4 linked regions of the Cricetulus griseus genome follow. The protein of the gene in region 1 purifies or fractionates together with the protein of each later gene. This does not show direct contact. Links are inferred from orthologs where the notes say so. Each region holds a gene or a part of one and is shown on either strand. Other genes may lie near its edges.

Region 1 (7,088 bases):
TGATCGTGGACTTGTCAAGCACACTGAAGAGTAGGAGACTGCATTCTTCCTTCCAAGGCTTCATTTGATCCCATCCACCACCCCTGGAGAGTGCTTTAGCCCATAGAAACCCTTCTAGGTGTACTTGCTGTGTTTCTCTTCTGTGCTCACCTTGCTCTTGTCTGTTTCTACTTATTTAATCACTTTATTTCTAAACTAGTTCTGATATCCCAGGATTTGTACAATACATGTATTTAGATACTGTTTTTTAGTATGAAGGGCTGTTATTGGAGAGTTTATAGGTTTCAAGAATTTGAGAAACAAACACAAACTTTAGGATAAACTGTGAGCTGTCAGCTCTACTGGCCACTGTAGGTAGTAGATATGCTGGCCTGCAAGGAGATTGTTTTGTTGTTGGGGCGTGCGTGCGTGCGTGCGTGCGTGCGTGCGTGTTTGTTTCGCTACTGGAGAAACTATCAATTCAGTGTTTGGCATCTGTTTGGGGCTTGCAACCATTCAGCATTTTATGCAGTCTTCAGGCCTCCAAAAGGTGGCAGTGTAGCACATACTATATCTCTTTGCTGTGGAAGGCTTGCTTAGCATCTGTCAGAGTATGGATGTGGAGGTTGAGAACTAGGTGAAGTCCAGGATATAGAGAACTAGGAAGGTACTTTCTTGGATGCTGTAGGGTCGTGTTTAGGTGTCACAGGTTCCACAGTTTATTTATCCACTTCCTATTTTCTAAGTTATTGATGATTATCACTGGCCTGCATTGCCTAAGCACAGAGAGACAGCTATTGACTGTGTGGGTAATACTTGAATGTTTTTGTTTTTTTGCAGTGCTTGCCAAGTGGTTTTTGTAACTGTCATATGACCTATCCACAGTGTATCCCCTACTCTGTGCTGCTGAAGGACCTGGAGATGAGGAATCTCCGGGAACTAGAAGACCTTATCATCGAGGCTGTCTACACTGACATCATCCAGGGCAAGCTGGACCAGCGAAACCAGCTGCTGGAAGTGGATTTCTGCATTGGCCGTGACATCCGAAAGAAAGATATCAATAATATTGTCAAGACCTTGCATGAATGGTGAGGCTGCAAGATGGAGGGGAGCTTCTAGTATGCCCTTTGTGCCTCTCTTTACAAAATTGTGACGTTCAGAAGTCAGCCAAGGGTTTGTGATAGGCCTTGCAGGCAGCCAGGAAAACTGGGACCTCAGGACACAGAGACAGAGGGTAGGGACGCATTTGTAATTACAGCTGTATGGCAAAAGGAATCACCCCAGCCTTCCTTGTGCCTGGGTTGTAAAACTGACTTTAAATACAGCAGGTCTGTTTAACAGTGGGCTATAAACTGTTTATGTGGAGATGCAGGTAGACTCTGCATCCTAACTGTGTGGCAGTAGGTCTGTACCTTCCAAACATTAACTCAGTTTGGCCAAGCTCAGAAAGTTAATGTTTTTCAGTAACTTGTTAAGCTAGTTAGTACTGGTGGAACATCGTGAGGGATATATCAGTGAACGGGCTTTTGTGATTTGGAACACAGATGCATAGAATATTTGACAATTGTCTGAGTATATAAAGAATTGGGCAACGGGGTATGGTGGGACATGCCTATAATCCCAGCGCTCAGGGTGCTGAGACAGAAGGATTATGAGTTGGAGGCCAGTTGGAGAATCTAGTTTCCAGCTGACCCCCTGCCCAAAAAAAGTAAATGAATTTAGGAAGAGAACTGGGACTCTGAGATGTAGTCTTATTTTAGTGGAATTTGATATTTGCAAAAGTGATTATATGTTCTATAAGGATTTGCTCTTGGATTTAAATGATTTGGAGCTTATGAAGCCAGAGCTTCATAGGGAACCATGAGGAGGTTTTGAGTGAGAGAGAATTATTGGGAGTGGTGAGACTGTCCCATATAGGCTCGTTGCATGCTGTAGTCATTAGGCAGAGTGGACAACTTTGTGCTGGAAGATAGGGAAACTTGCTTTTTGGGGGGTTGCCTTGGAACTATGTATCCCAGGTTTGAGGGATACATGGCTTACCAGTTTAAGGTTTGCCCTAAACTCTAACTCTGCCTCCCAAGTGCTGCCACACCCAGATTTTTTTTAAGATTTATTTGTTAGTGGTACATGTGTTTAGTCCCTCAGAAGGTAGAGGCAGGCAGAACTCTGGGAGTTGGAAGTCAGCTTCATCTACAGAGTGAGTTCTATAATAGCCAAGGTTATACAGAGAAACCTTGTCTCAGGACTAAAAAAAATGTATTTATTTTTATTTTATAAGTGTCTTCCTATCATGTGTACAAGTGCACTGTGTGTTTTTCTGGTGCCCGTGGAGGTCAGAAGTGGGCATCCGATTCCTGGAACTGGAATTATGGGTGCTTGTGAGCTTGTATGTGACTGCTGGGAACTGAACTGAGATCCTCTATACGAGCAACAAGTGTCCTAACCATTGAGCAATCACTTCATCCACTAAAAGAGACTCACAGAATTCCTTTTCAGGTGTTAGAGGTGATTTAGAAACAGAATTATTGTCCTGAGAGATAAGTACAAATACGGCCAAATGTTGACCACATTGAATAGTAATGGTCGGTATGTGAATATTCATTATATAACTTTTCCAAAACATTTTTTTTTTTTTTTCCCGAGACAGGGTTTCTCTGTGTAGCTTTGGAGCCTATCCTGGCACTCGCTCTGGAGACCAGGCTGGCCTCAAACTCACAGAGATCCGCCTGCCTCTGCCTGCCGGGTGCTGGGATTAAAGGCGTGTGCCACCAATGCCGGCCAAAACTTTTGTTTCTGAGAAAGGATCTCAGTTTATAGACCTGGCTGGTGTTGACCAGTCTAACCTTGACTTCAGAAATCTGTCTGCCTTTGTTTCCTGAGTGCTGGAATTAAAGGCTGTGTCACCAAGCCCAGTCTATTTTTAAAATTTTTAAATAAAAAGTGGGAAAATAAAAGTAAGTTGTTGGTAACTAGGAATTAGCTTCAAATTCTCAAGAAAAAGGCAGTCTCTAAAATAGTATGCTTTTAGGAAATGTAATTTTTCTGTCGTAGAAAGGGATCAGTCAGTGTTACCTGTAGTTTGTCCCTCCTTCCATCTTAGTCTGTACAATTGTTTCTTTTTTTTTCTTTTTTTTTTTAATTTTTAAATTTTAATTAGAAAGAAGATTATTTTACATGGCAATCCCAAGTCCTTCTCGTCCCCTCCTCTTTGACTCCCCAACTAACACCCTACCTATCCCATACCCTTTCTGTTCCCTAGGGAGGGTGAGGCCTTCCATAGGGGGTCTTCAGAGTCTGTCACATCCTTTGGGATAGGGCCTAGGGCTACCCCCTTGTGTCTAGGCTCAGGGAGTATCCCTCCATGTGGGATAGGCTCCCAAAGTCCATTCCTATGCTAGGGATGAGTACTGATCCACTACAAGGGGCCCCATAGATTTCTGAGTTCTCCTCACTGACATCCACATTCAGGGGGTCTGGATCAGTCCTATGCTGGTTTCCCAGCTATCAGTCTGGGAACCAAGAGCTCTCCCTTGTTCAGGTCAGCTGTTTCTGTGGGTTTCACCAGCCTGGTATGGACCCCTTTGCTCATCATCCTCCTTCTCTGCAACTGGATTTCAGTTCAGTTCAAGGTTTAGCTGTGGGTGTCTGCTTCTACTTCCACTAGCTGGTGGATGAAGGCTCTAGGATGGCATATAAATTAGTCATCAGTCTCATTATCAGGAGAGGGCATTTAAGGTAGCCTCTCCTCTGTTGCTTAGATTGTTAGTTGGTGTCATCTTTGGAGAGCTACAAAATGTCTGGAGAGCTCTCCAGACATTTCCTTAGTGCCTGATGTGTATGGCCATACCACCCAGAACACACCAAATCTTGTCTGTACAACTGTTTCTAATGGGCTGCAAAGATGGGAAACTGGGGCTGTATTCTAAGAAACTCCCCACAAGCCACTGTATCTATGAACTTGTTTGGAAGGAGAGAAGGGACTGCTGTAACCATTTGGCTTCACTGCTATTTATGGCTGGGTGTCTCCGTTGCAGGTGTGATGGCTGTGAGGCAGTTCTGTTGGGCATTGAACAGCAAGTTCTGAGAGCCAACCAGTACAAAGAGAACCACCACCGGACTCAGCAGCAGGTGGAGGCAGAGGTAAAGAGAAATGTTACATTCGTTCTCCTCTTTAGGGTGCTCCTAGATACTAACTAGTTTGAAGTGTTTTTGTTTTTGTCATGTGCTTTCATTTGAATGCAACAAATAGCCCCTAAACATGTCTTGGGTTTGATACTGGAATGTAGGAATTAATAGAGACGATAGAATGTGTAATTCTCCAGTGTACACACACTTTGCAGTTACTGAGGAAGAGAAATGTTGGAGATGTGTTTTAAAAGTGGATAGACAGGAGCTGGAGAGATGGCTCAGCAGTTCAGTGGATTCATTGCTCTTACAGGACCTAGGTTTGGCTCTTAGCACCCACATGGCAGCTCATCACCTGTAACTCCAGTTTCAGGGGATCCAATGCCTTCTTCTGGCCTCCATGGCTCTCACATGTACACAGATGTACACTCAGGCACACTCATATGCACATAAAATAAAATATTAAAAACCATTGAAATGTGAAAGAAATGAGGAAAGGGCAAAGTCACCTCTTCATACCAGTTAAAATAACCCGTTAATTACTAGTTTTTGTTTGTTTGTTTTTTGAAACAGGGTTTTTCTGTGTGGTCCTGGCTGTCCTGGAACTTGCTTTGTAGACCAGGTTGGCCTCGAACTCACAGAGGTCTGCCTACCTCTGCTTCCCAAGTACTGGGATTAAAGACGTGTGCCACCACCACCTGGCCTTAAGTACTAGGTTTTTTTTTTTTTTTTAAATTTTATTTTTTAAAACATTTTTTTTAAATTTTATTTTACAAACCCATCCCAGTTCCCCCTCCCTCCCCTCCTACTTCGCCCACCTTTCCCTCCTCAGAGAGGGTGAGGCCTCCCATTGGGGGGGGGGGGTCAATAAAGCCACATTGAGTTGAGGCAGGACCAAGGCTCTTCCCTCTGTATCTAGGCTGAGCAAGGTATCCCTCCAAAGGGAATGGGCTCCAAAAAGCCACTTCATGCACTGGGGATAAATCCTGGCTCCACAAGTACTAGCTTACTAGGAAACTTAGAGCAGACTGATGTAGGTGAAGAGGGCAGAGTGCAGAGCCTTTTTGATGGTTCTCATCATCCCCTGGCTGAGCCATGCCTCAGTTTACGGCATCCTCGCCTGAACACATATCTACAAAGAGCAAAGGAGATTCTGTCATAGCCTTCTGTGGTGTTGTTTCTCTTATGCTTGACTCAGATTTATAAGCATTTTTTCAACTGAGTAGGTGAGATATATTTTTTCCATTTGTCCTTAAATTACATTGCTGTTCTCAGAGAGGAGAAACTTGATGTTTTCCTTCCAAATCTTAGAGCGACTGCTTTCTGGTGAGTTTTGCCTTCTAGAGCCTCCCTCCGAGTTCAGTCACCTTATGACAAACTGCCTGAGAATTCTCTCGTTTAGCCTTTTATATAAGTAACATTATTTAAATATAGTTCAGCATACCTGGGGGAGACAGAATACAATAGTATCGTTCTAAGGCTTTGCGATGTCTCTGAGGAGGCATTCTGGAGGGAAGGAAGGATGGCTGCAGCACCACAAGGTCCCTCTTCATTGCATTTGCTTTGGGAATCTATTTTTCTTTATATTTGAATGTGCCTGTGTATGGTGTTGTGTGGAATGTTAATATATAGCTATTGCTACACATTCACAAAATAGGCTATGTTCCCCTCACATAGGTAATAGAACAAGAGTAAGTGCTATTTTTTATTGTGTAGAAAATCCCTCAGGAGTTAAGTTGTTACAGTGTGCTAAATCCATGCCTCCTAGGTGCCTTATAGAGAGCAATTCTCACCATCTTCATAGCATTTCCCGTGGGCTTGATTTCTGTTTGCTCTTTTTGATTTTTGCTTGCTTTTTAAAATTCATCCCAGGCTGGCTTCAAGCTTTCTATTGTCCTTCTTCAGCCTCTGGAGTACTGGGACTATAGTTAGCTGTCACCACACCTGTCTGTCTCCCACACCTGCCCTAAGCTCTCCCATTCCCTCTCCCAAAGGCAGTTTCCTCCCCTGGGGAGCTCTTTTGTCTCTTGCTCATCTTTAGGGTCTCTGATCTCTGATGGTACCAGGCTACATTTTGTTAACAGGTGTGCCCCACTGAGAAATTCCTGATGCCTGTGCTTTGAGAAGCTCTATGAACTCTAGGTTTCTCGGGGGTGGGGGTGGGGTGGGACAGAGGCAGCCTCTAAGCCAGTCCCTTGAGGAAGGAAACCTGAAAGATTTAGGTCAAAGAAGACACACTTGTGGGAGTACTTGTTATCAAATGGGTTGGATAGATGGTGATGTAGATGACTGGGTACCTTAAAATCTTTGATGCTAAAATGGGTTTAGCTGGTAGACCTGCCTAGTAGCCATTCTTGAGTCCTGGACATGGGTATCCACACTCAGTTCGGTACTGCCTGGCCAAAGCACTAGTTATCATTGTCTATGTTTCTGTCTGTCACCTATTTTTCTTCCTTTCTGTGTATATTTGTGGGTACAGGTGCACAGAGAACCACCTCAGGTGGCTTTCCTGGGTACTCTCCTACTTTTTTTTTTTTTAAACTGAGTCTCTCATTGGCCTGGAAATCTCCAAGTAGGCCAGGCTGACTGGTCAATGAGGGCCAGGGGATCTGTCTCTGCCACCTGAGCACTGGGATGTAAATGTCTTCTACTATGCTTGGTACTTTGTGTATGGGTTCTGGAACCAAATTCAGGTCCTTGTGCTTGCAAGGTAAGCACTTTGCTCAACCATGTTATCGCCTTAGCCAGGTAGGTGGATTTTTTAAAAAAGCAGAGTTGTGATTTTTATTAAAAGACTGTCTTTTAGACATGGTCTCACCATGTAGTCCTGGCTAGCCTACAACTCACTATATAGATCAGGCTGGCCTTGAACTCACACAGAGCTGCCTACTCTCATCTCCCCATTGTTAGGATTAAAGGTATGTGCCACCATGTCTGGCTAAAGACATTTAAAAAAGATTTCACTTTTATTTATGTGTCTATTG
Region 2 (7,518 bases), on another chromosome or scaffold:
GGGTATCAAGCAGACCTCCCCCATCAGCCTATTCCTCTCCTTCATTTCTTGTAGGGAGAGATGTTGGGCCCCAGTCTCCATGAGTTGATAACCACAGGTGCATCCTGTTTCCTAGTCCTGGATTACAGCCTCAGCCGTACTCCACTGACATGAGTTGATAATCACAGGTGCATCCTGTTTCCTAGTCCTGGATTACAGCCCCGGCCTTACCCCACTGGCATAAAAAATACCTAGGAAAACATGAGCTCTTACACCTTGGTTTTTCCACTGTGCTGTAAGTCTGTATATAAGGCTGCTCCCTCCCTGCAAAAAACACAGACACGTACACACATTCTCCTAGCACATACAACCGGATGTCTCTGCTTTTAACTGAATCTCCAGGCTTTTGCCCGATATTCAGGCTTAGTCATGGCTCGGACACCACAATTTCGTCCTTTCTGTCTTTCCAGTGTGTGAACCATTCTGCTTCTTTTTCTCTCCCATTTCTCCACCACATATTTGCTTATTATAATGGGCGCTGGGTGGACCCACGGATGTCTTCCTCCAGCCAGGACCTTGAGGATACTGGCTGGCTAGCCCTGGATTAAGCAGAACTGCATGGGGGAGGCATGGGTTGCTTCCTGTCAGTAGGGCCTTGAGGACACCACTGCTGGCCTGCCTGATCTCCCTTCTATTTCTGCATTATCTGCTTTTTTGTTTTTCCTTCACAGCTCTTCTCGCATGTGAAGTTTAATTAATACCTAAGGTCTCTGCAAGAAGTAATAAATTCTAGCATTCAATATATTAATCTATCAATTTAATGTTTAAAATTTCTAGATTTTGTGTTAGGGGTTTTTGCCGAATTTGCTCAGTAGACCGGTTAGCCTCGAACTCACAGAGGTCCGCCTGTCTCTGCCTCCGAGTGCTGGGATTAAATGTGTGTGCCACCACTGCACAGCTTGCCTGCATGTATGTTTGTGTATCATGTGCATGCCTGGTGCCTGTAGAGGTCAGACAGGAGCCCACTTGTGAGTCCCCTGCAGCTTCTGGAAATCAAATCCAGGTCCTCTGGAAGAGCAGTCAGCACTCTTAATCAGTGGGCTATCTCTCCAGCCTTTATATTTAATCTTTGCAAGAGCTCTATGATGTAGATGCTTTTATACTAATTTCACAAATGAGGAAACTAAGACTGTGGTTAAGTAAATCACTCAATATCTAAGAAGTGGAGATCTTATCCCATCTTAAGCCCATTTTCTTGAGACAGGGTCTCATTGTGTAGCTCTGGTTAGCTGGAACTCACTAGAGTGCTGGGATTAAAAGTGTGAGCCACTACCACCCAGCCAAAAACACACTTATAACAAAGGTTTCTTTTTTTGTGTAACTCTGAGTGTCCTGGAACTCTCTTTGTAGACAAAGGCTGGCCTTGAACTCCCAGAGATACGCTTACCTCTGCCTCGTGAGTGCTGGTATTCAAGGCTGGAATTCAAAGTGTGTGCCACCATCAGTGAGAACTTTCATTTTAAAGTATTCCAGATGGTACATTTTATAAATGACTTATTGCCCCACAAATGCTAGGCAAGCTCTTAGACACACACACTCACACACACACACACACACACTCTCTCTTTCCCCCTGACTCGCCCCACTCCCAGATGATTTAGAATTCATCTTTGTAGCAGAAGGGCATCGAACCTGCAATCCTCCTGCCTTAGCCTCCTGTAAGCTTACAGGTCTTACCCACCAGGCCTGGCAAATATGTAATTTAAAAATATATAATATATAATATATAAATTTTGCAGGGCGGCAGAGTCAGTTTGATCTCTGTGAGTTTGAGGCCAGCCTGGTCTACAAGGAAAGTTCCAGGACAGTCAGAGCTGTTACACAGTGAAACTCTGTCTCAAAAAACCAAAAATAAATAAATGAAATAAATAAATAAAATTCAAGGGTCCATGGAGCTTGCTGGCCACTAGCCTAGTTCAAGGTTCAAGTGACCTGTCTATCTTAAGGCAATGTAGCCAGGGAGCGATAGATGTCTTCATGAACACCTTTATAAAGGTACAAAAGAATGCTGTTAGTGTGGTGGTAGTGATGCTCGCCTTTGGTCCCAGCTCTCGGGAGGCAGAGGCAAGGAGAGCTCTGTGAGTTAAAGGCCAGCAAAGTCTACAGAGGAGTGCCAGGACAGGCTCCAAAGCTACACTGAGAAAACCTAGTTCTAAAAACCAAAAATAAATAAACTCACCCTAAACAAACAAAACATCCCCAACCCCCTAACCAAATGTTAGGAATTTGCATAATGCAATAACAGCCAACCTGTGAGATCCCTATATAAACTCTATTCTCTTGTTTAGAGATTCGTGATTTGAAGAGACACAGTTTGGAGAAAATAGTATAGGATGCTCTAGGTCTAGGATTTTTTTAAAAGAGTTTTTTGTTTGTTTTTAAGATTTATTACATATATACTGTTCTATCTACAAGCCAGGAGAGGGCACCAGATTGAATTGTAGATGGTTGTGAGCCACCATGCGGTTGCTGGGAATTGATCTCAGGACCTCCGGAAGAGCAGTCAGTGCTCTTAACCTCTGAGCCATCTCTCTCCAGCCCCTAGGATATGTTTGAAGGAGTCCGAGATTAATAAACACTTCTTGAACAAGCCGGGCATTTTTGAGCAGAGTGATGCTAGTTAACACGTTCGTACATCCATTTACTAAACGAGTAAATCTTGACTGGGCGCCTTTTCCCCGAGTCAGTCTTTACAGAGGACAGCAGTAAAAAAAAAAAAAAAAAAAAAAACCCTTTCCTGGCTAATCTCATCCAGAGCTGCGAATGAATCGCAGTCCCCGGATCTGGGGCGGCGAGCGGGTGGGGCGGCGCCGGCTCCAGCCAATAGGGGGCGCGCTCCGCCCTGCTCCCTGCCTCCGGACCCAGCGGCTTGCAGGCTCCTCGGTTGCTCCCAAGCACGCCCCCGCCCGCAGCGTCACGTGACGCCACCACGGAACCCAAGGAGCCGGGCCTAAGCCGAGTTAAAAGTCGTTGCCGGCGGCCGCCGCGAGTGCAACCCGAGAGGCTCACCCGGAGACGAGTGTGGCAGGCCCGGGGAGGTAGATGCTACCTTTTCCCGGTCAGGTCGGCTCCCGGTCCCTTGCCACCATTCGCCGCTCGCGTCTCCTTGAGCCTTTGCATGCGCTCTCTCGCGTGAGCAGGCCCCGGTTACCATGTAGCGGGAAAGCCTGAGGGAGCACGGGTGCCGGGTACGAGCTCAGCGCTGACGGCACGCAGCTTCGGCGTGTGTGGCCCCCCTTCCCCCTTCCGCCCCCCGCATCTCTGCCGCGGCCCGCGGGGCCCTGCTGGGAACTCCGGCCTCCCGAGGAGGCCTGGCCCCGAGCGCCGCCAATTCTCGCCGCCGCCTCTCGCGAGAGTCCAAGTTGAAGGAACATGGCGACATCTAATCTGTTAAAGGTAAGCCCCTGTCTCCAGCCGGGTTTCTGCTCGCGGCCGACGCGTTTAGTTCCTGGGTGAGCACCGGGCTCCGAGTGAGCGGCGAGATGTGAGAGTGTCTCAGGCTTGTCCACCGGAAGGGACCCGGGACGGCTGCCCCGAATACCCCGACGCCGGGCCCTGGCCTCGGGGTCCAGAGGCTTCGGTGGTTGCTCCCGCTGACTGACTGACTGACTGACTGACTGACTGACTGACTGGGAGGGATGCTTTCAAGGGACCAACCCAGGCTGCGGGCGACAGCAGTGTCGCTGGGCCCCCGGCGGGCGGCCCAGCCATTGTGACTCTTAGGGTCCGTTTCTTCCGAAGCGAGAGTCAAAGACATAATAGGAAAATTCTCGACAAAATGCTGCCTAGCAGGTTTTGACTAGGACCCCCCCCCCCCCGCTTCCTCCCCGGTTCCTTAATTTCTGTTCTCACTCTGCCTCCAGGAAATGCGAGTCAGATAGCAGTGCCTCCCACTCCGCCCCGTTTCTCCCTTTTCTGCATGTTACATCTTCCCTCCAGTTCTCTTGTTCTTGACTTCATGTTCCCATGCTTTTTGTTCCTCGAGGAACTGTCTCTCCCAAGCCTCGACTCCCCTTAGAGGACATCAGGTGACACCCGATGAAGTGCCACCGTCTTTTTAGCTGGTGGGAAAGTTTTTCTTATCAAAGAAGACATTGGGAAGTTTTTAAGTGTCAAGAAAGGCCCGGGGTTGGGGGATGGGGGGCAAATTCTGTTAAAAACTTAGGTAAGGACTGAGGAAGATATGGGGCAGGTTTGAGCTATTTGTGTTTTTAGTTAAGAGTCCTGTCCTAAAAGTATTGACTGAAATGGGGGTAGTGATTACCTGAGGGAAAATAAACACTGTATTCAGGCTCTGTGGATGAATAATAATAATGAAATAGAGAATGTGCCCTCCCCCCCCCCAAAAAAAAGCAGGGTCTCTTTAGCCCCATCTTGCCAGAATTTGCTGTATAACTCAGCAGGCCTCAAACTCACAGAACTGCCTCTGTCTGTGCTGAGATTGAAGACTTGCATCACCACCCTGGAGAGTCCTTTAAAAGGACCTAGATTCCCTGAATTTGTCTCTTGTTTTTTTCTTTGTTTGTTTTGTTTTGTTTTTTAAGACAGGATTTCTCAGGTAGCCTTGGCTGTCCTTGAACTAGCTCTGTAGAGCAGTGTGGCTTTGAACTCAGTGATCTGCTTGTCTGCCACCCTCTTCCCCAGTGATGGAATAAAAGCCATGTGCCACCACACCCATCTGAATTTCTGTCTCTTAAGAGCTTCATGGTATTGAGTTCCTTAACCTCTGCCCAAGCTTCTTCCTTCAGGAAGATGAAATTATCAGTACCATTTTTCATAGCCCTGTTGTGATCAAATGATTTACTTATGATGCTTTAAAAACAGTGATTGCACTTAATATGCAATTCACTAAAGCACTAGAACTTCTGTGCCTATTCCTATAGGAAAACCATTGGGCAGTGGCAACACACACTTTTAATCACAGCACTTGAGAGGCAGAGCAGGTGGAGGCCAGCCTGGTCTACAAAAACAAGTTCCAGGACAACCAGGGCTGTTAATACAGACAAGTTGTTACCCTGTCTTGAAAAACAGCTAACAAGAAGAAATAAACTAAAAAGAAAAAAGAAAAAAAAAAAGAAGAAAGAAAAACAGGTAAAACTGGGCCTGGGGTTGCAGGTCATTACCAATATGAAGGTCACTGAGGCAGGAGGATCATGAATTCTAGCCTAAACTAGTAGTAGTGAATTTGGAACCAGCTCAGACTACATTATATATAGACTAATTCACAGAAATGATATTACTGACTCTACTCTGCTTTGTTTTTCATAATACTGTAGCAAAATTCTTTTTAACATTTCATTTGTTTGTTTGTTTTTTGTTTTTGTTTTTTCGGGACAGGGTTTCTCTGTAGCTTTGGAGCCTGTCCTGGAATTCACTCTGTAGACCAGGCTGGCCTTGGCTGTCTGCCTCCCGAGTGCTGGGATTAAAGCCACCACTGCTCAGCTTAATCCCAACAACATTCTTAAAGTAGAGGCAGGCTTGATGTCTGAATTCCAGGCCAGCCAGGGCTATTGTCAGATCCTGTCTTTAAAACAAAAAAGAAAAAATAAATAAAAGATAAGAGTCTGAAGTCAGATGTCAAACACACTGCAGAGTTTTTGATGACCTTGTCTTGTGAAATAATAACCATGGGAAAAAGCAAATTTTGGAAATGAATATTATTTAGTATGTGATTTATTTTTTATTTCTTTATAGTTCTGGTTGGTCTTGGTATTTCCTGTATAGATAGATTAGAAAGATGTACACCACCAGGTCTGGCTTATAGTTTAAGATGGAATTTACAGTATGATGGACATAACAAACAGACATTTGATTCTGTTATCTGCACCTCAGTTGCCACATATTCACCTCTTTGAGGTTTTTTTGGAACTTTTTCTCCTTTTGTTGGAAGGTTGAATTCTGAATACATATTGAAAAGTAGTAATCATCCCATCGGTGGTGGATGGTACACACCTTTAATTCTAGCACGTGGGGAGGCAGAGGCAGGTGGATCTCTAAGTTCTGTTGAGGCCAGCCTGGTCTACAGAGTGAGTTCCAGGACAGGCTTCAAAGCTACAGAGAAACTCTGTCTTGAAAAAATTCAAACCAGGGCCTGGAGAGATGGCTCAGAAGTTAAGAGCAAAGGCTGCTCTTCCAGAGGTCCTGAGTACAATTCCCAGCGACCACATGGTGGCTCACAACCATCTATAATGTAAGATCTGGTGCCCTCTTCTTGCATGCATGTCATTGGGTTTGCTAGGATTTAGTTCTGATTTAAAATTTCTTTCATAGAAATTTACTAACACTGTAAATCTCAGGGGTCGCACAGCATGTTGGGCAGAAATCAACCATGGCTTGAGTTAGATCACCAGGTGTGTGTATACATGCTGGCAGAACATTATACATAACAAATAAATTTTAAAAAAAAGAAGTCACTTCCAAAAAAAAAGGCATGCTTTTATATTGCAATTTTATTTTGAGGTTTTATTTTCTGGTTAGATCAAATGAGCCGCCATTGGATCTTGGAAATCTTTTGAATATAGAAAGATGTATAATATATTTTGATATAGAGTTATCACTGGGCTAGGGGAATTAAATCTGACCCCTCTCACTTGGGTACTTTATCTGTTTTTTTTCCTTACACAGTCTGTCTGTAGAACATTTCTAGCAATCTGATAGTGCCCTTTCATCTATTTTAGATTACTTCTGACACTTAATTCTGCCTGTTCTTTTTTCTTTTGCAGTTGTCATCTGGGCTCAGAGTGCTCATTTTCTTCATTTCCAGTTGATTATCCTATTCCATACAGCAACTGTTCAAACATTTTTCACACCTCTCAGTTTTTAGCATATTATCTAGCAATTTAGGCCTGTATTTCTCTTGGCCAATACCACACATTTTTTTCTAGTTTCTCTGTATTGTACTTTTTCAAGTCACCTTCCACCTGTTCTTTTTTAGCCTTCACTGTCTCCCAAGACTTGGTGGCATGTCTCCCTCTCTGCTATCCCTTTTTTCTTTTCCCTTTTCTCACTTCTCTAAATATAAGAAAGTTTGTGTCTTTTGTGTAAACTTAGCCAGTGTCCTGCTTCTGTTCTCAGGCTTTTGGCTGTGTGCTTCTGTGTAGCTCTTCTTTTCCCTTAATTTACCCACCTGGCTATCTTGAAGCTATCAAGTGTAAGAGCATCGATAATATCCTGATTGTCAAACCAGGTTCTTTTTGATAAGCTTCATCCATTCTTGTATTATTGCTCACATTGTCTGCTGTTTTTCTTGTTTTGTGACTTTTTCCCCCCTCCCTCTGTATTTTACTGTTTACCCTGTTTTTCACTGACATATAAATTATTTCTCAGGATTCAATCTTCAACCCTTTCTTTGTTCTGGTACAGTCCCAACTCCTCTCTTTCTGTCTCTCTCTGTCTCCGTCTCCGTCTCCGTCTCTCTCTCTCTCTCTCTCTCTCTCTCTCTCTCTCTCTCTCTCTCTCTCTGTTTCTGTGTGTTTTCTC
Region 3 (7,518 bases), on another chromosome or scaffold:
CTGTATGATTCCTCCCTCTTTCAGCTGTGGGTCTCCTCCACTTCCTCCTATTCTTTCTTGTGTTTTTTTTTTTTTTTTTTTGAGATAGGGTTTCTTTGTGTGGACTTGGATGTTCAAGGACTTGCTCTGTAGATCAGGCTGGCCTCAAACTCAACAGAGATCTACCTGTCTTTGCCTCCTGAGTGCTGGGATTAAAGCTGTGCACTACCACTGCCAGGCTCGGGGTTTCTGTCTTAGTTGTACCACAAGGTAGGAAGGAATGTGTAGAGGAGGGTAGGACAAAGCCCACAGATATTCTACCAAAGAAGCAAAAATAAACAAATGAACCAGAACAATTCTTTAAGAATTCAGAATCAATGTGTCAGAATCAAGCTAGGTATTCAGGCCTGGACTATCTGTGGTTTTGTGTTCAGATGCGCTTAGGTGTGAAAATGTTGACAGTAAACACTGGCGCCCAATACACAGATGCACATGCTTTTGCAAATGGCAATATAGGTAACACCCTTTCTCTGAACTATGCCAATGCTCACCTAGGGATATGTAGCTAGGGAAGCCTGGGTGCCACCTCATTGCTCCTCCCAGGATGGGAGTCTGGAGTGCTTGCAGGCATGTGACTGTGTGTTTACCTGGTGTTTGCAGTAGGGGAAGGAGGGCTGCGGTAGTTACAGGGTAGAGATTTTGGTATTTTCTTGGGAGACAAGGTCTCATGTGTCTTAGGTTTGCCTCAAACATGTTAGGTAGCTGAGGATGATCTTGAACTTCTGATCCCTATCTCTCAACTCAAAGTACTGGGATTATAGGCATGCAGTACCTCACTTCCTGTCTATACAGACCTCCAAGACCTCTCTGGTTAGCTAGTGGCAAACTCCATTCTCTGACCTTCAGACAGCCTTTATCTGTACAAGCAAGCTATCACCACAATCACTAGTTTAGGGTGGACAATCTTGAGGGAGTTGCTCCTAGGCAGACCCTGTACTGCTGTACTTCTCCAGTGTCCCAGACTCTAGCTTCCCCCAGTTCTCCCCTAGATGCCCCTTAGGACCACCACCAACCCAGTGCTCCCTACACTGGGTTCCTAAAGTGGAATAGTGCCATCTGGTGACAGAATAAGGCAGTGACTTTGAAAGTTTACTTTTGGGTTCTCACAAGGGCTCTTAGAGGTGACCAAAGGTATCCAAGGTATTAGGGGAGGATACCTAGGGGATCCATCCCTGTACATTTTGGGTTCAAAGCCCAGGGAGGTAGGGCAGGAAAGCTGCCTCAAGTAGTATTGTAGGTATTGTGAACTCCATGTCTTTGTTTGTTTGTTTTTTGAGACAGGGTTTCTCGGTGTTAGCAGCTCTGGCTGTCCTGGAACTCACGTCGTAGATCAGCTGGCACAAAGGTCTGCCTGCTTCTACCTCCCGAGTGCTGGGATTAAAGGCGTGTGCCACCACTCCCAGACTGTCTTTTTTTTTTTTAAATAAGAATTTAGCTAGGCACAGTGGCACAAGCCTTTAATCCCAGCACTTAGAAGGCAGAAGCAAGTGGATCTCTGATTTTGAAGTCAGAGCTGGTCTACATAGGGAGGTCCAGTTCAGCTACAGCTACATAGTGAGACCCTGTCTTGAAAAAAAAATACAAAGAAAAAAAAAGAAATTTAAAGATTTATGTGTATAAGTGTTTTGTCTGTGTGTTGGTGCACCACAAGCACGCATGATATCCAGAGGCCAAAAGAGGGCATCTGATCCCCTGGATCTGTGAGCTGCCATGTGGATACTGGGAATCAAATCCTGGTCCTCTGGAAGAGAAGTGCTCTTAATTGTGGAGCCATTCTCCAGCCCCCAAATCTGTATCTTTTGTTCACTTGTCTTGTCATTCAAGACAGGGTCTCTCTATTATGTAGCTCTGGCTATCCTAGAACTCGATGTGCAGGTCAGGATGATATCTAACTCAGGGATTCATTTGCCTTAACCTCATGAGTACTGGGATTAAAGGCATGTGACATCATGTCCAACAAAACTCAGTATCTTGATTCAACCTTACTCCTTCAGATTTCTCCTCCATAAAGTTGGCTGGCATTACCTGCCCTGGTCTTGATGCAAGCCAGGCCTGCTGTAAAGACAAATTGAATGATAATGGTCATCACAGCAAGAGACCAGAGATTTCAGAAGCACAGGGGAAAGCTGTTCTGTGGCAAGAGGAGTGACTGAAGACATGCTACATGCCTGTGGCACTGCCATCACCCTCTAGAATTTTTACTTTTAGCTGCTTGTTACTCTAAGCTACACAAGTAAGGGGGAGAACTCAGGTGGGTGGGATAGGGTGGTGGTGGACTTGAGTTTGAAATCTGGGATACTGGCTTCTTCTCTTTCCTCCCTCCCTCCCTCCCTCCCCCCAAGACAGGGTTTCTCTGTGTAGCCCTGGCTCTGGCTGTCCTGGAACTTGCTCTGTAGCCCAGGCTGGCCCTGAACTCACAAATGCCACTACTGCCTGGCTGATACTGGCTTAACAGCCATAGAATCTGTTCACAACAATAGGTCCACAGTGTCTTACAATCTCCATGTGAAAGTATTGACTGCGAGAACTCTATGGAAACGCACAGAACACACTCAGAATTCCAAGAGCAATAATGAGTTGCATCAGGCCTGACGTCTGGGTAGGTCTTGTCAAGATTCTGCTCAATTGTGGAGTTTATCTTTCATGCCCTCACATAGGATCTGTGGGTCAAAGTCAGATCCCCTGATGCTTCTTCACTTTGGTTGGTGATATTAGGCGAGTCATTTACTCTGGGTTTCACTTTCCTCAACTTTAAAATTAAGAAATTGAATTAGATGACCTCTGTGGTTAGTCAAGTCTTGGCTGAAGACTTTTTTTTTTTTTTAATTTTTCTTCCTCACATAAAATACGTAGCAACGAATGCTGTTTTGATTCTTGCCGAGTATGTTTTGAACAGAAAGACAAAGGAAAACCAGTGAGTTTCTTATTAATGAGTACTGCAACTTTTGATACATTTGTGCGAGATTCATTTTTGGCATATTATAAGGCTTATGTGTCAATACCAGTACTACTGAGCCTTACCGATTACACAGGGTAGAATTACGTATTGGCAAAGTTATCAGGCAGCGGTAGTCTGCCGGGCTTTAGAAAGATCGATTCCTTCCTTCACTTTTCGCTTCCGCTTTTGGAAACAGCCAATAAATACACAGCAATTTACGTATAATACAGAAAACTACGGATCCCAGAAGCCAATGCGCTGGGGAGGTGCTTTCTGGTCTTTCTATCCCCCCGCCCTTCCCGCCCTTAAAAGCGGAACTTCATTTCCCAGGAGCCCTATGATGTTCCTCCGCTCGCGCCGACGTTCTCCCCCCGCCTCCCAGCTCGCGAGCCTCGCGCCAAGCGCGCGCGCGCGCGCACTGCACGTAACATGCGAGTGACGCATAATATGTGGGCCGCTCAGGAGCCGTGGTCGCGCTGTGTGTGTGAGTGAGGGAGAGTGAGTGCGGGACCAGAGGCGGTGTGTGTGAACTGTGGCCGCTGGAGGGGTGCGGGGAGAAGCGGCGGAGCCGCCCGCGAAGGTAAGCGGGGACAGGAAGGAGCCGACTCTCTGTGGGGAGCGCGAGGAGAGCGAGCGCGCGGCCGGCTGGGCGGGAGAGTGGGCGCCTCGCTGGGGGAGGGGCGGCACCTGCTTCGGCTGCCGGCGGCGGCGAGGGGGCGGGCGGGACCACCCGGGAGGCTGGGCCTGGGGCCTGACAGGACTTTCCTCCTCCTGATCCCTGGCCCGGGGGCGGGGCCTCAGGCTCTTCCTCCAGTCTTCCAAAGAAGCTTCCTTAGAGTAACTCTTCCGCCCGGAGTGGGGGGCAGGGATGTGCCCGCCTCTACCTGAAGGAGGTGCTCTTTCATTTTCTCTGGTCCGCTCCGAGTCTCTGACGAGCCGAGGGGCTCCCTCTCCCCTGCCGCACGGTGGACCCCTTCCCGGACTGTGTCCCCGCCTCCGGCTTCAGTCACCTGGGCGGGCTTTCCCCTCCTCCGGCTTCGTGCCACCTCCCACTTGCACCCGCCCTGCTCTTGGACAGGGCTAGGGGGAGGAGCTTTCCGGGAGCCCCTCCTACTCCTACCATGCAGTGGTGAGCCGAGGGGCAGAGAGGTGTGTGGGTGCCGACCTAAGGTTGCCTGCCAGGCTTCTTGGGAGCTCGTACCCAGGGCTCTTAGTTGTTTTCTGGTGGGCGGGCCGTTTGCCATGCTCTGTCCTGTTTCTAGAAGGTGTCGGTCTGTTTGCTCTTACTGCAGTGATAGCTCTTTGTTTTTTCCATTTGTTGAGGAATTAACTCTTAGAGTTTTGAATAAATGACTACCACTCGTTTTTGTCTGCCTCCTGTTGCCCCCCTCTGTCTGTCTCCCCCACTCCTGGCTCTCTTTCTCTTCTTCCTGGAACTGGCTCTGTAGACCAGGGTGGCCTCAAACTCGGAGATTTGCCTGCCTCTGCCTCCCCCCCCCAGTGCACTATTAACGCCCCCGTCTGCCAGTTTCTTGTATCTCTTTCCTGTGAAGCCTTTTAACTATTCTGCGTGTTTTAATTATTAATTTATTGTAGCACTATCATCCTGTTGCAAGCCCTTTGTTAATGCTGTAGTTGGAGAGGTTCATTGGTAGCATCACTTGAAGGCTTCCCCCCACCCCCTCCGCCCGTGTTTCCTGGCATTTACCTTTAAGGCTTTTATAAACCTGTTTTGACTTTAGGAGTTGATACAGTATATTTCTTCCAGATGTCAAGATTTGTGTTTGTATATAGCAGTTTTTCATTAACAGTTTTCGAGTAGGGGTATATTTTTGGGTGTTAAGGTAATATGAGGAAATTTTACACATTTCTTGAGCATAACATTTTATTTACATTGTCTTGTTCAGTTATTAAATTTAATAAAATGTAATAAAACGAGCTCCATGTTAAATTGAAGTGATTGGAGTTGGTTTATAACTACTGTTGTTTTCATAAAGTACACAGGACAGTAATAGTTATGTGATTATGTGTCATAGTGTTAAGGTTTTGCTTGAAGCTGTAAATTCGGAATTTCTCCCCTTTCTCCTGTGGTGTTGGGGATTGACCCAGGGCTCTCTTCCTCCCTTATGGCTTTTGAAATAGAGTCTCTGTAACCCAGGCTGGTCTCAGACTTGTGAATGTGCCTCATTCAGCTTTATAAGTTCTGTGATACACGTGTGCACCACAAGCTCAAGTTGACCTGCCTGTCTCCCTCCCTCCCTCCCTCCCTTCCTTCTTTCTTTGTGCTAGGAATTGAATTTAGAGTCTCAGGGACAGGCCTTATCATTTACCTACACCTTTTACTTCTTTTAAGTAAGGGTTGCAACTTTCCTGAAGGAGTGCTGTCTTCCCTCTTTTTCTTCGTGGCACAGGATCTATTTTAACAGACTTTATCTTATATTTGGGGACAGTTTTGCTGAATCTTCTATTAAGTATAGTGTAGAATAGAACCTATTTTTCTTTTTGGGGGGGATTTCAAGGCAGGGTTTCTCTGTGACTTTGGAGGCTGTCCTGGAACTAGCTCTTGTAGACCAGGCTGGACTCAAACTCACAGAGATCCGCCTGCCTCTGCCTCTGCCTCTGCCTCCCAAGTACTGGGATTAAAGGCATGCGCCACCACCACCCGGCCCAGCTTGATTTTTGAGTCAGGATCTTACCAAAAATCCCTTTCGGTAGAAAAGCTAAATGAAGTGATTATCTTTAGTTTCACCAGTTAACCGCTTTGTTGTATATTCTGTCTCTGTGTTTATTTTGTGGAATTACTTCAGGTTGTAGGCACATCACTTCTAAATTCTTTGGCACATTATCTTTTTGTTTGTTTTTCAAGACAGGGTTTTGGGGCTGGAGAGATGGCTCAGTGGTTCAGAGCATTGGCTTTTCTTCCAGAGGACCTGGGTTCTTTCTTAACAACCACATGGCAGCGCACAACTGTCTGTAACTCCGGTTCCAGGGTACCCGATACCCTTACGCAGACAAGAACACCAATGCACATTAAAAAAAAAGTTGATCAGGACAGGGTTTCTCTGTATAGCCCTGGTTGTCTTGGAAGTGCTCTATGGACCAGGCTGGCCTCGAAATCAGAGATCAAACTTGATCTGCCTATGGAGTGCTGGGATTAAAGGCATGCACCACCACCTCCTGGCTGTTTTTTCAAGACATTGTTTCTCTCTGTGTAGTCCTGGCTGTCCTGTAACTCACTCTATACCAGACTGGCCTCAAACTCAGATTTGCCTGCCTATGCTGGTATTAAAGACATGCACTATCACCAGACTGGCTTTTATTTAATATAAGGTAGAATTCAGACCTAGGGTTTTATAATAACATGCAAATGCTCTACCACTGTCCTGGATCTGCAACCTTGTGTGTGTTTCTAAGTTGAATTCTAAAATTTTACTGTTATAATGTCCTTGAATTCCCCTTCATTCTATACCCCCTCCACACACACATACAGGGTGTTTCTTTGTTGTCCTGGAACTTGCTGTATAGACCAGGCTGGTCTTGAACTCCCAAGTGCTGGGATTAAAGGCATGTGTCATGTCCACTCCCTGTTTTCTTTTTTTAAGACAGGGTTTCTCTATGTAGCTTTAGAGCCTGTCCTAGCGCTAGCTCTTGTAGACCAGGCTAGCCTCAAACTCACAGAGATCTGTTTGCCTCTGCCTTCTAAGTGCTGGGATTAAAGGCATGTGCCTTTAATGACAGTTGGGGAATGGGGTAGAAAGGAGGTCTGGGCTTGACTGCATTTTCCTCATGCAGGAAATGAGCTGTTCCAGCCTTGCCTGGATTTTCCAAGCCCCTAGGCCAGTCTCCATCTCTGTGTTCGAGTGGAGAGAAGATGGACAATCACAGAGAGTGTGGCTTAGAGGACTCTGCTTCCCAAGTGCTGGGATTAGAGGTGTGCACCACTACCATCTGGCCCCAGCTATTTTCTTGTGCTTTTAAAAACTTTTTTTTTTTTTTTTTTTTTTTTTTTTTTTTTTTTTTTTTTTTTTTTTTTTGGTTTTTCTAGACAGGGTTTCTCTGTGGCTTTGGAGGCTGTCCTGGAACTAGCTCTTATAGACCAGGCTGGTCTCGTACTCACAGAGATCCACCTGCCTCTGCCTCCCGAGTGCTAAAAACTTTTTTTTTTCTTTAAATTGTGCTAATATGTGGAAGAACCTTGAAAATAGTATGTTAATGTAGTAGGTATGGTGGTGCACGCTTGTAATCTAAATACTCATGTAACTTGAAGCTGAACAATCATGAATTTGAGTTCAAGCCCAAGTTACATAGTGACACTGTCTCAAAACAAACAAACAAACAACCCAGCAAACCTTGGGTTACATGAGTGTCTTAGGGTTTCTATTGCCGTGAAGAGACACCATGACTGCTACAACTCTTGGTTTTTCGAAACAAGGTTTCTCTGGCTTTGGAGGCTGTCCTGGAACTAGCTCTTGTAGACCAGGCTGGTCTTGAACTCTCAGAGATCTGCCTGCCTCTGCCTCCTGAGTGCTGGGACTAAATGT
Region 4 (7,088 bases), on another chromosome or scaffold:
TTTTTTTTGTTTTTGTTTTGCTTTTCGAGACAGGGTTTCTCTGTGTAGCTTTGGAGGCTGTCCTGGAACTAGCTCTTGTAGACCAGCCTGGTCTCAAACTCACAGAGATCCACCTGCCTCTGCCTCCCGAGTGCTGGGACTAAAGGTGTGCGCCACCACTGCCTGACTCTTTTTTGTTTGTTTGTTTTTTGTTTTTTGTTTTGTTTTTTGAGACAGGGTTTCTCTGTGTAGCTTTGGATCCTGTCCAGGAACTGGCTTTGTAGACCAGGTTGGCCTTGAACTTACAGATCCACCTGCCTCTGCCTCTGGAGTGCTGGGATCATTACTGATCTTAACAAAGTCAAAATACATTTGAAACTGGGGCCTAGTAGCACAGGGTTGTAATCCTTGTGGAGTTCAAGGACATTCTTGGCTATAAAGCATTAAGTCTAACATGGGCTGCATGAAACCCTGTCTAAAAAAAATGCATTCAGAATAGTAATTTCTTGCTACTTATGCTGATTATTTATAATGATACCCATGACTGAGTTATTTTCATTACTTTGTTCTGTTTTAATAAAGATTATTAAAAAACCTATTAATAGGCTAACTAATCCTCCACCTCATTTTCTGTGGAATCATTCCTAAACCTCAAACTGCACAATTTATTGCCACCTGAAAAAGGCTTTTGAATAATCTTAATCTATGATTAACTCACTAATTAAAAATGCTTTTCCTATAAGAAATGTTTTTGATTAATTCATTTGTTTTAAAAATATGGGCTGATGTTTGTTTTTTCTGTAATAGGGCAAAAAAGAACTTCAGGTCTCTCTTTTTCAAACCCTGGTGCTGCTAATGTTTAATGAAGGGGAGGAATTCAGTTTAGAAGACATCAAGCAAGCTACTGGGATAGGTTTGTATTGCATCCCCCAAGTAGCAAGCAATTGTGTAGTTACTGTGTTTAGAGCTCTGGGAGATACAAGGAAGTAATCCTGTCCTCGGTACTCTTTTTATTTTTCAAAGATGATTCATTTAATTATGTGCATTATTGTAAGCCTATATAAGTATATGTATAACACACATGCAGGAACCTGTTAAGGCCAGAAGGGGACATTGTATCCCCTAGAGCTTGAGTTAGGGGGTTGTGAGCCACCATGTAGATGCTGGGAACTGACATCTATCTGGTCTTCTGAAAGACCAGAAAGTACTCCTCAGTGGTGAGATGTCTCTCCAGCCCCCTCCTGTATTTCTTTTGTTTGTTTTGTTTTTCAAGGTAGGATTTCTCTAACAGCCCGGCTGTCCTGGCACTCATTTTGTAGACCAGGCTGGCCTTGAATTCACAGAGTGAATTCCCAAGCGCTGGGATTAAAGGTGTGCCACCACTGCCTGGCTTCTCTGTATTCTTAATAATGTCAAAACCAGTAAGTACCAGTATGTAGTGCTAACAAGAAGTATGTTAAGAGAAGCTAGAGATTATTGTGGAAGGAAGTGGGACTTGAGTTAGGCCTTTAAATTTTGGTTGGAGAGAAGGCATCTGAAATAAAGGAACTAGTATGAAGAAAGGCTTGGGTAGTGTAAGTTGGAAGCATGAAAAGTTTGTAGCTTAGAATGGTGAGTTATAAAATTCAATAGGTAAGATGTATAAATAGACTGATGAATACAGCTGAAACCTGAGCTATAGTGACTTAAAGGAAATAACCTATTTGCACAACTTACCTGGCATTAGTAGGGCCAGCCACCCGAAACAGGAAAAGATTCTAGCCTAGAAACTGTAAAGATAATTGTGATATGAAGTTCTAAAGGGCTTCTAGTAGAACGATTCCAACAGCAATGGAATTACTAGAGCCATATGGAATGAAGGAGAAGGAGGACTTAAAAGATGAGTCTAGGGGTTTTCATTGAATTAGGTTAGTAGTAGTGTCAGTAGCAATGAAGCAGAGGGTTAATGGAGAATAGAACATACTGGAGTGATAATAAAACAGTCAAATGGTATGCCCTTTTAGTGATTGACTTTAGAGAAGGGGACTGTTACATCAGAAATTTTAGTAGTTGTCTGCATGGGGTAACAAATGTTTTTAGAAGACAACTAGAAAAATATGTTACTGGATAGCACAAAGAGCAGGTGTTGGTGATATGGGGAAAAAAGAATTTAATAGAGAATGTTTATAAATTAAATTGATGTTGAATGTAGTGTTGTGCATGCTGCTAAGCATTATTTCTTCTTCAGAGGATGGAGAATTAAGGAGAACCCTGCAATCACTAGCCTGTGGCAAAGCTAGAGTTCTCACTAAAAATCCAAAGGGCAAAGATATCGAAGATGGTGACAAATTCATTTGTAATGATGATTTCAAACACAAACTATTCAGGATAAAGATCAATCAAATCCAAATGAAAGAAACGGTAAGCCTTTTGCTCTCTCGTTGGACTATATTAGGTTTATATGTGTTTCTAGTAGAAATTTACAGACTACAAATTAATATTATGTGCAGCCAGGTGGTGGTGGCTCACTTTAATCCCAGAACTCGGGGAGGCAGAGGCAGGTGGATCTGTGTGAGTTCACGGCCAGCCTGCCTGGTCTATTGAGCAAGTTCTAGGACAACCTCCAAAGCTACAGAGAAACCCTGTCTGGAAAACCCAAAAAAAAAAAAATTATATGTGCTTGAATGTTACGCCTCATGTGTGTCTGCACCACATCAGGCCTGAGACCCATATGCCAGAAGAGGGCAGTGGATCAACTGGACCTGGAATTATAGATGGGTGTGAATGGTGCTGGAATGTAACCCAGGTCCTTTTAACTGCAGAACCATCTTTCTAGCCCTGAAATTTACAGCTTGTTACTGTTAACATTTCCTGTGCCCACATCTAGCCTAGTACATTTCAATGTTTGATTCTATGTTTCTTTTTGTTGAGGAGTAAACATAATAGGGTTGACAGTCAACATAGTTGTTTGGTTGTTTTGTTTTGTCAAAGGCTCCTGACCCTTGATGCCCAAGGTTGTTCTCTGACATCCCTAACCGCACTGATATAATGCACATACCCCCACACGTTTGTAAACTATCAACAGAATGCTAAATAGCTACATAATCTTGTACATGGCCATTGAAACTTTTAAAAAAGTTCTGTATCTGAATCTTAATCTGTGATCTTTTCCTTAAGATGAATTCATGAAAGTAAATTTTTGGATCAATGGGTATGAACATTTTGAATTTTAGGCAAGGCCAGAGGACAACCTCCAGTGTCATTCCTTAGGAGCTATCCACCTTGTTTCTTGTCATGGTCTTTTACTTGCCTGGAACTCACTAACTAGGCTAGGCTGGCTAGGTATTGAGTTCCAGGAATCAGTTTTTACATGAGTTCACGAAAATCTAAATTTAAAAATCAGGTCCTCATGCTTGCAGGGCAGGCACTTGGTCAACTGAGTCTATCTCCCCAGTCCTCAAAGGTGGTATCTTTTTTCTTAACCTGTATAGATACTGATTTATTTGTATTGATTGGTACAGAACAGTGTGATTAGAACAGAAAGGCCCTATATGTGTCAAGTTTTTTTTCTCTTGTGTCTGTATTTATCAGGTCCCATTTAGGTAACACTGTTATGTCCCTAATGTACAGTTTGTGTTAATAATTAAGTTTGACTTCATTTGAAAACTCTTTTTAGGTTGAAGAACAAGCAAGCACTACAGAAAGAGTATTTCAAGATAGACAATACCAAATTGATGCTGCGATTGTCCGAATTATGAAGATGAGGAAAACACTTAGCCACAATCTTCTTGTCTCAGAGGTCTACAATCAGCTGAAATTTCCAGTAAAAGTAGGTGTTTCTGTGTCTCCATACTGAACTTGTTATAAATGAAAAAATACATTTGATTTTTAGACAATAATCTTGCAAATATAGATAAAAGGCTTAAAGCCATTTAGAAGGACATGAATTTATTTCCTATAGTCATACATACAGTTCACAAAAGAGTGTTGTTGGTATATGTATACAACTGTGACAAATTGGGAAACAATTTACAAAAGCCCCTCCCTGTACTTGAAAGTTTAATGAGTAAATATGACTTTGAAAATTTTGAAGTTAATTCACTATGTATCTTTAGAATCTTCTTTTCTGGAGATAACTTGGCATTTGACATATTTGGTTATTAGATTGAGTTATATCTTGTTTAGTTACCTTATAAATGTTTCTCAAATCTGTTACAGAGGCTGCTGGCTGTATTTTAGTGGTAAAGTAGTTTTAGTGCCTTTGAAAATGTCTAATAATATTTCTAGTAAACTGAAATTGGTCAGTGTATTGACATGTTCCAATACAAATGTCCAGCAATATAGGTATTTATAGACAGTGAGGTGGTGTACTGGACTATTCAAAATTTTAAAAGATTTCTAAACTTTTGTAATAAACATTTGGTAGAAGTTGTATAGACTCCTGGCTGTTAGGATTCCTAGCGCTTTGGATTTTGATAAGGCATTTAATCTTGCTGAGCTTGTTTAGAATTGATAATTATACTTAGCTCCACCATTTTTTAAAGATTCATTCATTCATTCATGAGTGCTCTATCTGCATGCACACCTCTACACCAGAAGAGGGCCCCAGATCTCATTACAGAAGGTTCTGAGCCACCATGTGGGTGCTGGGGATTGAATTTAGGTTGTCTGGAAGAGCGGCCAGTGCTTTTAATCCCTGAGCCATCTCTCCAGCTCCCTCGCACTATTATTTTGAGGCTTAAGTGAGATGGAAAGCACAAAACACGTAGTACTAAGTTTGGTATGTATGTAGGTATGTAGTAGCTATTACTTTTAATATTACTTTTAATAAGGTAGTCTGCTTCTCTAAACCTCATGCCTTCTCATTACCACACTTGCTCACATGCTCACCTAGTCATTTCATCTCCAGCAAGAGTGCTTACTGATGTTAGAATGGAAGAGATCACTCACTATAACATTGATCATAATTAAACCAAAGCCATTTGATATTTAAATCTCAGGGTTGTTAAATGGAGTTTTACTTCTCTATCTATTTTTCTCCTTTGCTTTTTTGTTTTGTTTTGTTTTGAGATAGGGTTTCTCTATGTAGCTTTGCAGTCTGTCCTGGAACTCACTCTGTAGACCAGGTTGACCTCGAACTCCCAGAGGTTTGCCTACTTCTGTCTGCCGAGTGCTGGGACTAAAGGCGAGCACCATCAATGCCTGACTCTCCTTTGCTTTATTTTGTTTTTTTAGTCAGGGTCTTAACGTGTTCCAAGGCTTACTTTGAAATCAGTTCTTCATATCCGTTGATTCCATGTCTGTGACTTCAACAAACCAAAGGTTAAAAACATCCTTTCCAAATGAATTAGCTAGCCAGGCATTGGTGATGCACACTATTAATCTCAGCACTTGGGAGGCAGAGGCAGGTGGATCTCTGAGTTTGAAGCCAGCTGGTTCCAGGGCAGCCAGGACTGTTACACAGACCCTGTCTTGAAAAACCAAAACCAAAAGAAACAAAAAAAAAATTAATTAGCTGGCTCGGCATAGTGGTGAATGCTTTAATCCCAGCACTGGGGAGGCAAAGACAGGCGGGTCTCTGAGTTTGAAGGTCAGTCTGGTCTAAATAGTGAGTTCTAGAATAGCAAGGACTACAAAGAGAGACCCTGTCTCAGAAAACAAAACCAAAAGCCAAACAGATGCATTAGCTGTATGCAGTAGCATGTACTCATAACTACCAGATGAGACAGCAATATTACTTGAGCCCAGGAGTTTGAGATCAACCTCAGTAATGCAATGAGATTCTCATCTTAATGAAAAATTGCATATATATTGAATATTGGTTTGTTTCCTTTTCAGTATTTGGACTTTAAATAGTAGTATAAGAAAATTCTATAACATTTATATTGAATCTTGGGTATTATAAGTGATGTGAAGATATTTATTTATATCAGGGTCTGACTGTGTAGCTCAGGCTGGCCTCAAAAGTCATGATCCTCTTACCTCAACTTCTCCAGTGCTGGGATTGTAAGCATGTGTCAATATACCTGGCCGAGATGTTTTTTAAGTTGTACTGGAAGAGTGCAGTAAGTTAAATGCAGATACTGAACCTTGACAGATTTGGGTGTGTCAGGGTTCTAGAACCAGTTACCTGTTCATATCAAAGAATGCTCTCATTACTTTTATGGGCCATATACAAATTATAGTAGCTTTTTTTAATTCAAGAGATGAGTATAATTATCAATGCAATGATATAAATTTCTTTAGAGAGCTTATTTTTAATTATGTGTCTTTGTATGGGTGTTTACTTGTGTACAGAGGTGTCAGCTCCACCTGGAGCTGGAGTTACAGGTGGTCCTGAACCACCTGACATGGGCGCTAGAGCTGAACTCGGATCCTCTTCAAGAGCAGTACACACTAACATGTTCTGTGCCATCTCTCCAGCCTTAGAATTTTGTTGTTGTTTGTGACAGGATCCAATACATCACAGGTTAACCTTGAATTCCCTTTGTAGCTGAGTCTAGGAATATAGGCATGCTCCACCATGTCCAGCTCTAAATTGTCACAAATTTTAAACTAACTGCAAGAATCAGAAATCCAAATCACTTATGTACATAGTTCATATTCATAGTAAACCAGAAACATACAGGTGTGAGTTAATGTGATATTTTATCAAATTTCATAGTATTGTGTGGATATGTGGTACTGGGGGCTATAACGTAGGACCCTTACATATGCACACTTTCTTCAAGTCTTGCTGTAGACCAGATTGACTTCAAACTCCCAGAGATCCACCTGCCTCTGCCTTTAGTGCTGGGAATAAAGGTGTTCACCACCACTGACCCCCCTTACATATGCTAGGTTAGTGCTATACTACCAAGAAAAAACCTCATCCACCCCCACTTGTTTTTGCCAACCTTCTTGAAGTAACAGTCTTCATTCCTCATACACCCAAGTAGCTGGGATTATAGGCCTATGCTACTAGGTCTAGTATTTTATATAGTTTATATAATAAATTCTCATGCATTTTAAAATACATTTGTTAATTGTTTAGTTAGTTAATTTCCGGTTTTTTGTTACTTGTCTGCTGACACGGTGTCTTACTGTGTACCCAAGCAGCTCTTACTCTCAATCCCCTTGCCTCTGGCTTC

The links.
Region 2: the proteins of Cops7b (region 1) and Cul5 purify together in Homo sapiens (affinity purification with mass spectrometry; 3 studies listed by BioGRID and IntAct, with this or other methods). This does not show direct contact. The link is inferred for Cricetulus griseus from reciprocal best matches to the Homo sapiens genes COPS7B and CUL5.
Region 3: the proteins of Cops7b (region 1) and Dcaf1 purify together in Homo sapiens (affinity purification with mass spectrometry; 3 studies listed by BioGRID, with this or other methods). This does not show direct contact. The link is inferred for Cricetulus griseus from reciprocal best matches to the Homo sapiens genes COPS7B and DCAF1.
Region 4: the proteins of Cops7b (region 1) and Cul4b purify together in Homo sapiens (affinity purification with mass spectrometry; 6 studies listed by BioGRID and IntAct, counting the BioPlex papers as one, with this or other methods). This does not show direct contact. The link is inferred for Cricetulus griseus from reciprocal best matches to the Homo sapiens genes COPS7B and CUL4B.

What each region holds. Positions count from the first base shown.
Region 1 is NC_048595.1:438,273,869-438,280,956, forward strand, and holds part of Cops7b (COP9 signalosome complex subunit 7b), read left to right. Parts: intron 1-819; coding exon 820-1,067; intron 1,068-4,013; coding exon 4,014-4,119; intron 4,120-7,088. UniProt on the Homo sapiens protein: Component of the COP9 signalosome complex (CSN), a complex involved in various cellular and developmental processes.
Region 2 is NC_048597.1:165,390,669-165,398,186, reverse strand, and holds the start of Cul5 (cullin-5), read left to right. Parts: upstream 1-2,935; 5' UTR 2,936-3,411; coding exon 3,412-3,435; intron 3,436-7,518. UniProt on the Homo sapiens protein: Core component of multiple cullin-5-RING E3 ubiquitin-protein ligase complexes (ECS complexes, also named CRL5 complexes), which mediate the ubiquitination and subsequent proteasomal degradation of target proteins.
Region 3 is NC_048597.1:215,036,464-215,043,981, forward strand, and holds the start of Dcaf1 (DDB1- and CUL4-associated factor 1), read left to right. Parts: upstream 1-3,418; 5' UTR 3,419-3,557; intron 3,558-7,518. UniProt on the Homo sapiens protein: Acts both as a substrate recognition component of E3 ubiquitin-protein ligase complexes and as an atypical serine/threonine-protein kinase, playing key roles in various processes such as cell cycle, telomerase regulation and histone modification.
Region 4 is NC_048604.1:28,553,766-28,560,853, forward strand, and holds part of Cul4b (cullin-4B), read left to right. Parts: intron 1-786; coding exon 787-892; intron 893-2,206; coding exon 2,207-2,379; intron 2,380-3,634; coding exon 3,635-3,787; intron 3,788-7,088.